Coturnix japonica: one gene and its partners. The protein of the gene in region 2 interacts with the protein of the main gene of each other region in a biochemical or structural test. Links are inferred from orthologs where the notes say so. Each region holds a gene or a part of one and is shown on either strand. Other genes may lie near its edges.

Evidence for each region.
Region 1: the proteins of NCOA6 (region 2) and TGS1 form a complex in vitro, tested with the Homo sapiens proteins (2 studies listed by BioGRID). The link is inferred for Coturnix japonica from reciprocal best matches to the Homo sapiens genes NCOA6 and TGS1.
Region 3: the proteins of NCOA6 (region 2) and THRB form a complex in vitro, tested with the Homo sapiens proteins (2 studies listed by BioGRID). The link is inferred for Coturnix japonica from reciprocal best matches to the Homo sapiens genes NCOA6 and THRB.

Annotation. Positions count from the first base shown.
Region 1 is NC_029517.1:100,459,068-100,462,720, reverse strand, and holds part of TGS1 (trimethylguanosine synthase), read right to left. Parts: coding exon 3,581-3,653; intron 2,669-3,580; coding exon 2,525-2,668; intron 1,004-2,524; coding exon 787-1,003; intron 357-786; coding exon 278-356; intron 1-277. UniProt on the Homo sapiens protein: Catalyzes the 2 serial methylation steps for the conversion of the 7-monomethylguanosine (m(7)G) caps of snRNAs and snoRNAs to a 2,2,7-trimethylguanosine (m(2,2,7)G) cap structure.
Region 2 is NC_029535.1:435,251-438,903, reverse strand, and holds part of NCOA6 (nuclear receptor coactivator 6), read right to left. Parts: intron 1,105-3,653; coding exon 958-1,104; intron 187-957; coding exon 1-186. UniProt on the Homo sapiens protein: Nuclear receptor coactivator that directly binds nuclear receptors and stimulates the transcriptional activities in a hormone-dependent fashion. Coactivates expression in an agonist- and AF2-dependent manner.
Region 3 is NC_029517.1:34,219,943-34,223,595, forward strand, and holds part of THRB (thyroid hormone receptor beta), read right to left. Parts: intron 2,309-3,653; coding exon 2,161-2,308; intron 383-2,160; coding exon 177-382; intron 1-176.

The DNA of each region.
Region 1 (3,653 bases), on a different chromosome or scaffold from region 2:
CCCAAATATACCACACCTGGATTGTAAGTACCTCCAGTCTGCTGCTCTATGAAGGAATAGTATCAAGATAATGGAAATCATCTACTACTCCCATTTCTATATACGCCAGAAGTGCTAGAAACACAGACACCACTCAATATAAGGTTCAGATTTTAAACAAAACAGCCAAACACGTTCAACTGAATAGACTTAAAAATCTTAACTTTGTGCTTATACTATCTATGTTCTAAGCCAGTTGATGTTTTGGTAGTTACCAAGCCGTTATCCAGTAACATACCTGGTTAATGTCAGCGTTCCGAGGTAGAAAATACACAATGTTGTTTGTGATCTTCTTGGAGAGCCTGAAAATTTCAAATGTAGAAGCCAGTAAAGGAAAAAAAAGGTAGTGCATGGATGGAGAAACTATTATATATTAATTCATTTTGAAAGCTTAATACGCAATAATGGAATGTCTGTGTAATTAGATACTGCTCTAGAATGCAGAAGTTAGCACTAAATGCAGAAAGTCAATTATTTCACCATTATTGACCTTTTTTAAATAGCAACAACAAGAAATCATAGAATCACAATGTTGGAAAGGACCTACAAGATCATCTAGTCCAACTGTTCTCATATCACCATTACTAGCACTAAGTTACTAAACCGTATCTTGTAGCACCTCATCCAGACAGTCACTTTCAGTCAACCAGCTGGACATGGCAAAGCCCACCTCAAGAGAAACAGGGAAGAAAAAAAAAAAAGGACTGAAAATGACATCCATGGTAACACAGAGCTTTGAAAGGATATCCATCTGGGCAAATCATAGTTTGGATGTCAAAGATTTCAGCAGTGGCATAGTCAGGCCCACCCCAAGGAGGGCTAAGGAACACAACATCTGCTTTCAGGTCAGCAGCCAGCACCATGAAGTCTCCGCACACAAATTCGATCTGGTTGGCCACGCCGTACACCTCGGCGTTGCTGCGTGCAAGGCTGAGTTTCTCAGGATCGATATCAACAGCAATCACTGCAAGTGAACGAGAGAGGAAGTGCACAGGTAACGTGGGCTGCAAAGTGCACAAAACATCCGATCACCACACAGATGCCACCCAGTTACCAAACAAAAGTTTCACAACATTCTCTTGTAGCAACCAGATACACATCACATCCGTAATTTCATTTCATGTGCTAAGCACTTCATTTTCTGCATGGCGGTAGACATGAAACTCCAGCTCCTCAAAGGGAAAAGAGGGTCCTTTACTTTACAGTAGAAGCTCCATGCATTCACACCAAAGTGACAGCAATACCATAGCCAAGACTGTGGGAAGACTTAGCACGCTGTTTAAGTTTTGGGAATCACACATCTACTACAACACTCCTCAGCACAAGCATAGGACAGGCAAGGCTGTCTGCCTAAGTGAGGAAGGCTTCCCATCTTCTCTCCGGGCAGGAGCCCAACAGCTTCCACAGAGTCAACTGGAAACCCATTCTTCTCTCTTGTCAAAGATGAATGTTTGCCTTGTGGCTGATCGCATTACACTGAAAACTGAGTTGGAAAAACACGCAGTGTAGTACAAAAATTATGATACAATGGCAGTATATAATTATATAAAGTATGTGAAATTTAGGAAATATTTATAGAATGCATCATAGCCTACCAATTTAGTGCAGCACGAACTACCATTTTTCTTGCTCAGAAATTACTGGGAAGTGTTAGATGAGCTGGTATTTTACCAGTGTTTCATGAATAGGGGAGGATTAAGTAGTTAATGTATTTACAGAAAGCACTCATGATTCACTGCAATTTCATTACCTGGAAACAAGAAATTACACTAATATCAAGTTATCATTGCTTTTCTGTATTAGGTCCTGCTGCACAGACAGAGGTGATCCCATTCCGATGTTTTAAGTACAGTTCACATGAAACATGCCTTTGAGTACATAGTCTTAATGCACTATTGAGAAAAGCAGCAGCTTTCTGGTGTACTGCAGGTTGGCACTGCAAACAGAACTTAACTTTTAACAGCAATTTCCAGCGCATCCAATGGACTAGCTACTATGTCAATTAAAACTAACATTTATTACGTTCAATGTAAATCCAACTTTGACTTTAAATTGGAAAGCAGTTCTACAGGTCAACTTTAAAAAAAGAAACCTTGTATTGTGATTCTGATGAAGGAAGAAACCTCCCACTGCTTCAGAAGCACTGGAGAAAAATGCATCTGTGAAAAAAGCCCAGCTCCAATTTTCATAGAGTAATAGAATGGCCTGCGTTGAAATGGACCTCAAAGATCAACTAGTTTCAACTCCCCTGCCATGTGCAAGGTTGCGAACCACTAGACCAGGCTGCCCAGAGCCACATCCAGCCTGGCCTTGAATGCCTCCAGGGATGGGGCATCCACAACCTCCTCGGGCATCCTGTTTGAGTGCATCACCACCCTGTGTGAAAAACTTCAACCTAAAAAACTTCTTCCTAATTTCCTTCCCTAATTTTAGGGCAAAAAGGTTGAAGAAATGAAACAATGTACTGCATACAATGCCTACTTACCTCTTTTTGAGGTCAAAGCAAACTGAATAGCATTTCCTCCAACCCCACAGAAGGCATCCACTATTGTATTGCAGTTGAATGACTGAGCGACACGGACTGCAATATGCTCTGCTATCTTCTCAGGAGTAACAGAAAACCAGCCCTCTGCAAAGGGAAGAGAAGTATTTTTGCCACTTATTTCAATGTTATCTAAATTAAAAACAAACAACTGAAGGTTTAGCATCAACCCCAGCAATTTTGGCTTAGCACGTTTGACCAGGAAATACAGGCTTTCAAGATTATAAACTCCGTTGAGTCCAGTGATTTGCTAAGCAAACAAAGTCTCACCAAAGTGAATAGATATCCCTGATTCTCACTGAAGGCTTTGTTGAACTTGGCGCTTATCAAGGACAAATACATAAATACAATTGCACAAAACCTTATACATGTCATAACTATGCTCTGCCACAAGTAAAAACAGAAATATATCCTCTCACATCCTACACATTATTTTCATTACAGTCATGCCTGGCCTGCCAAACAAACTATGTGTTTATATGGAAAAATACTAGAAATGAAAGCCTAACAAAAATCTTACCAAAAACGGTGGTAATACTAACTCCTTATTTACCTATGAACTGATAATTTAGAAGCAGTTTCCACATAACATGGAAAAATGCAACCTTGAAAATGACTGCTGAAAAACCGTGAATGTTAAGAGAACTAAATTACATTCACCACTGCACTTCAAAGTTAAAAATGATAATAATAATAATAATAATAATAAATTATGGAGAAAAAATGTCATTGAGTTTCTGAGAAAGTCCTGACCAAGCATTGCTTGGGTACACTATGACCTTCAGCAAGCATCACAACCAGCACAAAGAAGGGCATACCATGCTAGAAAACGGGAGACAGAAGTCCCAAAGCTCTTTTGTTTGTCAGTGCATTGGCTGTGCACTCAGTATTGTTCCTTCCATCAAAAGAATTAGTAATAAATAAGCTGTAAGAAAGGTCACAGGCCTGGGTACCCCTTATGCCACCAAAGTCAGCACCCTGTGCACTAGACACACTTACCTCTATCTAGTTTAATCCCCTCATCGAAGCGAGAGAACAGCCTGTAGCGTTGTGCCCAGTACTTGATCAGCTC
Region 2 (3,653 bases):
GCTGAGACTGTGGTCCTTGTTGAGGCTGTCCCTGTATGTTGCCCATGTTAACTTGCGGCACTCCACTAGCACCAGCCTGCTGGTTGTTCATACCTCCATGAAGCCCCATTAAATTGGTCTGCATCATATTCGGTGGGCCATGTGGTGCTTGCATCTGATTTTGAGGAGGCCCAGATCCTTGGCCACCTTTAAAAACAATAAAAAAGAAAGTTGGTTAGAAACCGATGGGAGTGATGTAAATTCTCAAATGTGATGCTGAATAACTACTCCAAATTCACTTTCCTCCTTTCTCTAATGAACTGGAATGCTGGACATATTTGCAGTCCTGTTCTATGATTGATGTCACAGATAAACATTACCTGTCAAAACAAAAAAATCACCTTCATTGGTGCTTCACACATGGACCCCACTGCAGGAGGCTTTCATTCAACTTCCATTTCAGTCATTACCTGTATATAAGCCTAAAAATATTCCACAATAGCACCTAATTTCACAAAATCATTCCCAACTAAAAGAAGCTTCAAACCGTGAAGTCATTTTACAATGGGTAAAAAATAAATACACGTACAGTGGTGATGATGGACATAATTCAGATGCAATACTGATAACCAAATTGTTAAAATGAGATATCTGTGAACTGCAGATTTCTTTTTTCACAAAACTCTCTTTAAGCTGATTTCCAAAGCTTTCAAAGAAACTAATAACCTTTTCAAACAACAAGGTGCTTCTTTTCTTGTTTTCCCTAAGATAATGCCCTTCATTTTTTCAGGACAAGAAGTTTCTTTTGTGCTGTATTTTTATTACCCCTAGCCTCCAAATCCCGTTGCTAATTCTTTTTAGCTTCCAAGAAGATACTTCTGGATCCTAGAATGACAGTTCTAAGTAAAAGTACTCGAACTGTTTGAAAACCATTAACCTCCCCACCAACAACTGAGGAACAACACATTCCACACAGACCTGCGTGCTGCACATTTTGGCTGGTTTGTAGCTGTGGAGCTCCGCTGTTCACCGGTGTTCCCGGTGCTGTGGAAGGCACCTGACCTTGCATGAAGCTCTGGTTAGCTTGGCCCGCAGGGAACCCGGGAGGGAGGCGCTTGGGCATTCCTTAATACAAGAATTTTCTCATTAGAAAGTAGGGAAAGAAAGAAGAGAGAAAAATAAAAAGGAAAGAAAAAGCAATCTGTAATTGGATGGCAGTAGGAAGAATACCTTTGAGTTTGTACTGTCACACTTCTGGTTTAGGAAAAAAGCAATTTTTGCCAATACGTAAAACTCACTGAAAGCATACTAAGAATTCTTACCTGTGCAGTAGTTCTGCCTAACAAAGCACTAAGACTCCACTCAAAATGTAATTCTGCTTCTAGTCTAAGTAGAACACCAAGCCCAAAAAAGGGGAAAAGTTGGAATTTTCAGAAACTGGAATTTGAAGTACCATCATTTGCTGCTTTCTTCTCTACTGCAGCTCATCTCTCACCAGGTCCGTAACTTACTCCATGTAAGCAAATACAAAAATCTTGCATTTTGATGGCACTTCTCCTCTCAACAAGATGTGCCGCCATAACACACTGGGTAGACATTCCTTCGCCCTGCTGGTCTATGTACATACAGACTCAAAATGACTTCTGGGCTCACGGAGGGCTGAGTTGAAGAATCTTCAAGGTCATGAGACAGAACAGGGCCTCACTACCCACAAAAAGACTCAGCTGCAGCAAGTCCCAAGTTTATATACACAACCCTGCTATTCCTATTGCAAATATTCTGCCAGCTCTGCCTGGCACAACACCCACACTTTGACATATCACAACACCACTGCTGCCCTGTGACAAAGAGCAAAATCTGCACCACTCCTACTGAGATGAGCAGCAGCAGAAATGTCTTTAACAAAACCCACTTCCTTTAACTCACCATCAAATATATAGTACCATAGTACCTATTAGAAACACTATACTCCTGTATTTGCCTGATTCACTTCCACAGCCAGAATTTAACCTTGGCTCCCTCTATGGTTATAGCTTTCTTGCACACTTTAACTGTATTGCTTGTGTAAATTAATCTGGTTTTGTGTCTACAACTAATACTTCAGTGTAATTGAGTTCATAAGTAAAAAATTAGGTGTGTCTGTAAATATGGGACAAATATTTCAAACAACATCACAGGATTACAGTTCTAGTTCTGCAAAACTTAGGAAAAAGCTTGTAGGAATGCTTGAATTGAGAAAAGTGTTCAATCTGGCCTATTCTGATTTGCAAAATTAACCAGGTGAAAGAGTTGGAATGTATTCAATTTACACTAAACCTTTAAATGCAAAGTGGCTCAAAAATGGGAAGATCCCTAACTATGGCCTAATTAATGTCTAAATTGCAGGACTAAAGACTAAGTATGGACAGAAGTCAGGCAAAAACCACAGCAAATGGAAGGCACACATAGCTTTGTTTAAATCAACAGAATCCTGTCTTTTTAAAACACCTGAGGATACAGATTGCTGATTTTAGCAATAGGGCCTGGAGTGAGTCCAAATAATGTATTTTTATGGCTTATTTGGGTTGTTATTTTTAACAAAACAAAAGTAGGATTTTGTCTATAGTAGGTATAGTAAGTATGCAGAGATTATGCTATTTAGGTTAGGGTTACACTACCTAGAAGATGGTGACAGAGCATTGCAGCTGGAGAGACAGAACTGTAAGGAAATGTGACACTTCTCAAAATATTTGGCAGCTGGAGACAAGAAAGGAGGTAGCAAGCAAAAAAGCACTGGCAGGCCCTAAAAACCCTAAAGAAGGAGGAAAACCCTAAAACTGAGACAATTCAGATGAAACAAACTGAACCAAATTCAAATGACATCCACAACACAAACTGTGAAGATACAAGAAAACCTGCCTGTATCAGTTGGCCAAGGAATGGGTAGTCGTTACAGCTCATCTGAGCTGAATTGGATGTGCAATGTGACAACACAGGAAAATAGAATACATACTGAACTGTGTGTGTAGGTAGACAAAGAATATGGCCTAGACTTTACAAGTACAGAACAAAAAGATTTTAAAGACCCAGGCAAGAGCCTATGCACAGGTAACTGAGAGCAGCCATTCAGGAGAAAGACAAACAAATGGAGAGACTTGCTACAAGTCGGGCACAGCACCATAAAAGGCACAAGGAAAAAAGAAAAACAGGGACACAAAAGAGATCTGAAGATTCAGAAATGAAATTCTGCCATCGCTAGAGAAGCCTTTTGAGAGTAGTAAGGCAAAAATTTGAATGCAGAGATCCAAGCAGAAAACTAAAGACCACACAACCAAAGAGGAAGTTAAAGCATTCCTTGACTTTCTCATTTTAGAGCAGGGAATTCAATAGCATAGCAGTAACAGTGCTTCTAAAGCAAAGAAACCAATGACAAATAAAGACAGGGTCAAGAGGAAACATCCACAACTGAGAAGGGAAAATGTAAAATAATGCTTCGTTTCTGTAGCAGAAAACATAAGTGGTGACAGACTAAGCTGAAGGGAAAAAAACCATTCATTTGCTTTTATTGAACTCTCTCCCTTTCAAAACCAACAAATAATATCTTTGCCTATTCTGAACTTTCTGTAAGGCAATAGAAGAACTGCCAAGAGGATGACTAGGAGTCATAAGCAGCAGCTACATAAAATAATTTCCTT
Region 3 (3,653 bases), on a different chromosome or scaffold from region 2:
TGTTAAATACCTGGTCTGATCAAATATTGAGAATCAGCCAAGAATCAACAATCATCAGTTTTTCATATAAATCAAAACACTGGCACATACACCAGTGGTTGCAATGCTGGGCAGGGACTTCAGAAGAAATGAAGGAACTTGACTTCAAGAGCAGTGTGAATGTCTGCAGCCCCTACCAGAAATTTCCTTTTCTGCTTCCAGTGGCTTCCTTGTGCATTGGTGGCCACATGTGCTTCAGTGACAATTTTGATCAGCTCCCATTCCTCATCTGTTGGTTCAGGCTTGTGACCAATTGTTTTCTGCAGCTCCTCCCGACGCCTCTTCTCTCGATTTTCTTCTATCAGCTTCCTCTTTGCCAGCCGCTTGCTGTCATCCAGCACCACTAGCAAGGATAAGAGCATACAAAAACGGCAGGAAGTTACTGAAGTTATCTGAACTTAGGTTTTTCCTATTTATACCAGATGTACTAATTGATTACCAACACCTTAACCAATCATAGAATGGTTTGGGTTGGAAGGGATTTTAAAGATCATCTAGTGCACCACACTACTGTGGGCAGGGCTGCCACCCACCAGCTCAGTCTGCCCAGGTCCCCATCCAACCTGGCCTTGAAAGCCTCCACAGATGAGGCATCCACAGTTTCTCTGTGCAGTCTGTGTCAAGGCTTCACCACTCTCCCACTAAAGAACTTATTCCTTATATTCATTCTAAATCTCTTTCAGTTTGAAGTCAATATCCCTCATAAAAAGTTGGTCTCCCTTCTGTTTACAAGCTCCTTTTAAGTACTGGAAGACCGCAATGAGGTCTCCTGGGAACCTTATTTCCTCAACCTTCTTCCATAAGAGGTGCTCCAGCCCTCTGATCATCTTAGTGACCCTTCTCTGGACATGTTGCAAAGGCTCAGTGTCTTCCCTGCACTGGGGGCCCCAGGCCTCAATGCAGTACTCCAGATGGGGCCTCACGGGGGCAGAGCAGTGAAAGACAATCCCCTCCCTCTGCTGGCCATCCCTCTCCTGATGCAACCCAGGATACAGCTGGCTTTCTGGGCTGCATGCGCACACTACCAGTTCACACCCAATTTTTCATCCACCAGAATCTCCAAGTCTTTCTCTGCAGTGTTGCCCTGAATATATTCATTCCTCAGTCTGTACTGATGTCTGGAGATAGCTGGCTTGTCTTCCAGTCTCAGTGACAGCTCCTCTGACACACCTGTATGTGCATTCTATAGACACCACTTTATGGTACCATAAAGTGCAACTGCTGGTCAGAATCAGACTCAGACAAACTTCTCATTCTGTGCAGCTCCTAAATGGCTGATGCTCAGTATTGCCTGATGCATCAACGTGGGCTGGATTTGAACTGATGATCCAGAGTCATTCCATTCCCTCTCTTTAAGTACCATCTGCCTTTAATGAAACTGTTTCACTTCTTCTGTTTCATTTTATACACAAAATGCCACACGTTACATTGCAAGTGAAAAATGCTAAGTTGGAATATTTTTATTTTCCTGATTGGGTCTGGTTTTGGTTTTGGTCTTTATTTATTTATTTATTTGCAGAGGATTACAATGGCAACAACCATTAACATCAATGCACAGGGGGATTTACATGAGTTCCTCTCATTGCACTAATTGAAGTTATTGGTGTAAATCCCTGTGCAGTGGCAGGAAAAGAAGATCCCTAAGGGTTAATCTTACAGCCATATGTTCTAGCTCTTTAGAATGAGAGTCAAATTATTTGCAGATAACTTCTTCAGGGCTAAAAATAAAACAAACAACTGCAGGATGACTCATACAACGGCATTCAGTTTCACATCCTCCAGAATTTTCTAAACAAGATGTTTTTTTTTTCCAAGCAAAGTGTCCATCCAGATGCATTCCTCCCTCCTTTCCTCCTAAGAGTTAACATTCCTATTGTTACTCAGTCCAGAAAGGCCAGGAGAAGGTGCAGCTTGGTAAAGCGTAAACAAAATATTACAGCATTCAGAAGTGGGTTGATGCAATGAGCATAATTCTCCAGAACAAATGGTTAAAAACAAAAAACGTTGTCAGTTCCATTCTTTTTTAACAATCTTCACCAACCAACGTACTTAAAGCAAATAAATACATATTAAAAAAGAGAGAGAGAGAGAAAATGAAGAAAAAGAGAAAAATATACTTACAATCTGTTGCCATGCCAACAAAGATACATTTTTTGAAGCGACATTCCTGGCACTGATTTCTTGTTACTTTGTCTATCACACATTTTCCTTCATATTTACAGGAATAGGTTGGATGGAGGTTTTTCTGAATGGTTCTTCTGAAAAATCCCTAAGTGCGATAAATAAATACATTGGGAAACAGAACTACTGCGTATTTTTTCCAAATTGGTGGCCAATTTGGTTTGGTAGAAACATACCTAAGTAAGCAGCATAAAATACTCCATTAAACTCTCAAAGAGAACAAAACAGACTTATAGATTATGGCATTTTCTCAGATTCAAGAAACATTTCCTCCTTAAAAATTAAAACATACAGACCCCTGAGATAGGTAAAAGCGTAAGGAAAGCTGTCTTGAGGAAAAAGATACTGATTACGTGTTTTCTTCAAGTCCTGCATTTCCATGCATAAATTTTATTGTTGATTGGAACTAGAGTTTATTTTGAGCCCCTTTTTAAATTACAATGATTTCAAAGGGAGGCATATGTGTACTCTTAATTAAAGGACAGCCTCTGCTAAGGGCAAAAATGGTGGCGTATAACTAAGTGTAAGTAGAGGGCAAAGAATGAGCAGTTTTACTTGTGCCCTTCCTCTAAAGTGAAATAACCAACCAATCAAATCTGGGCAAGACTATGAATTCTGCAGTCAAACACAATTCACTCAACTTCTCAGTTGGGCCCTAAATAATGGATCCATAATTCTGAAAAAATATGCATTTATGAGAAAAGGAATTCCTATTTCCCACAAGCATCTATATTCAAAACAAACATCACCAACAAAGAACTCTCTATGTATATTCTATCTACCTACAATAATATACATACAGCCAATTGCAGTTGATAGGAGGTCAGATCCTCAGCTCACACCAAGTACTGTAGCTCCACTGAAGTCTCAGATTTGAGCACACCACACACCCTGGTCTTAGGTAAAGAAATCAGATACAGCTTCTCTCCCAACACTGTAGACCTAATCCTGATATAAATTTCTACGAGTTCTCTCACAGACTTTGGCAAGAGCTGGATGAAGTTCCCAAGAGAAACGCAGTATGAACCAGACAGACTGATAAGGGCAGAAATTTACTTCACTTTCCACCACTGTTTAAGACTGTCTACACTTAGCAACACAGTTTGGAACTACCTTGACAGAAAGAACACGCTGAGATACCAGTCCTGTTGACTGGGGCCACAGTGAATAGCTTTGGTTTCATTGAAAACCATGGTAAAGTTCAAGTGAGATGGGATTTTATCTAACATACACTCTCTTCAGCTTGGATTTTAGTTACTGAACATCTTTTCACTTCACTAAGCAAGAAGTCTCTTTTTAATCATACTAAATAACAGAGTGTAAAATCTTATAGCAGTGATATATTTCAACACAGAACGTTTAATTAAGACATACAGATAAATCTGCATTTCAGCTTGATCTCCCAACACCTTCAAATACAGTGAAGCACATTC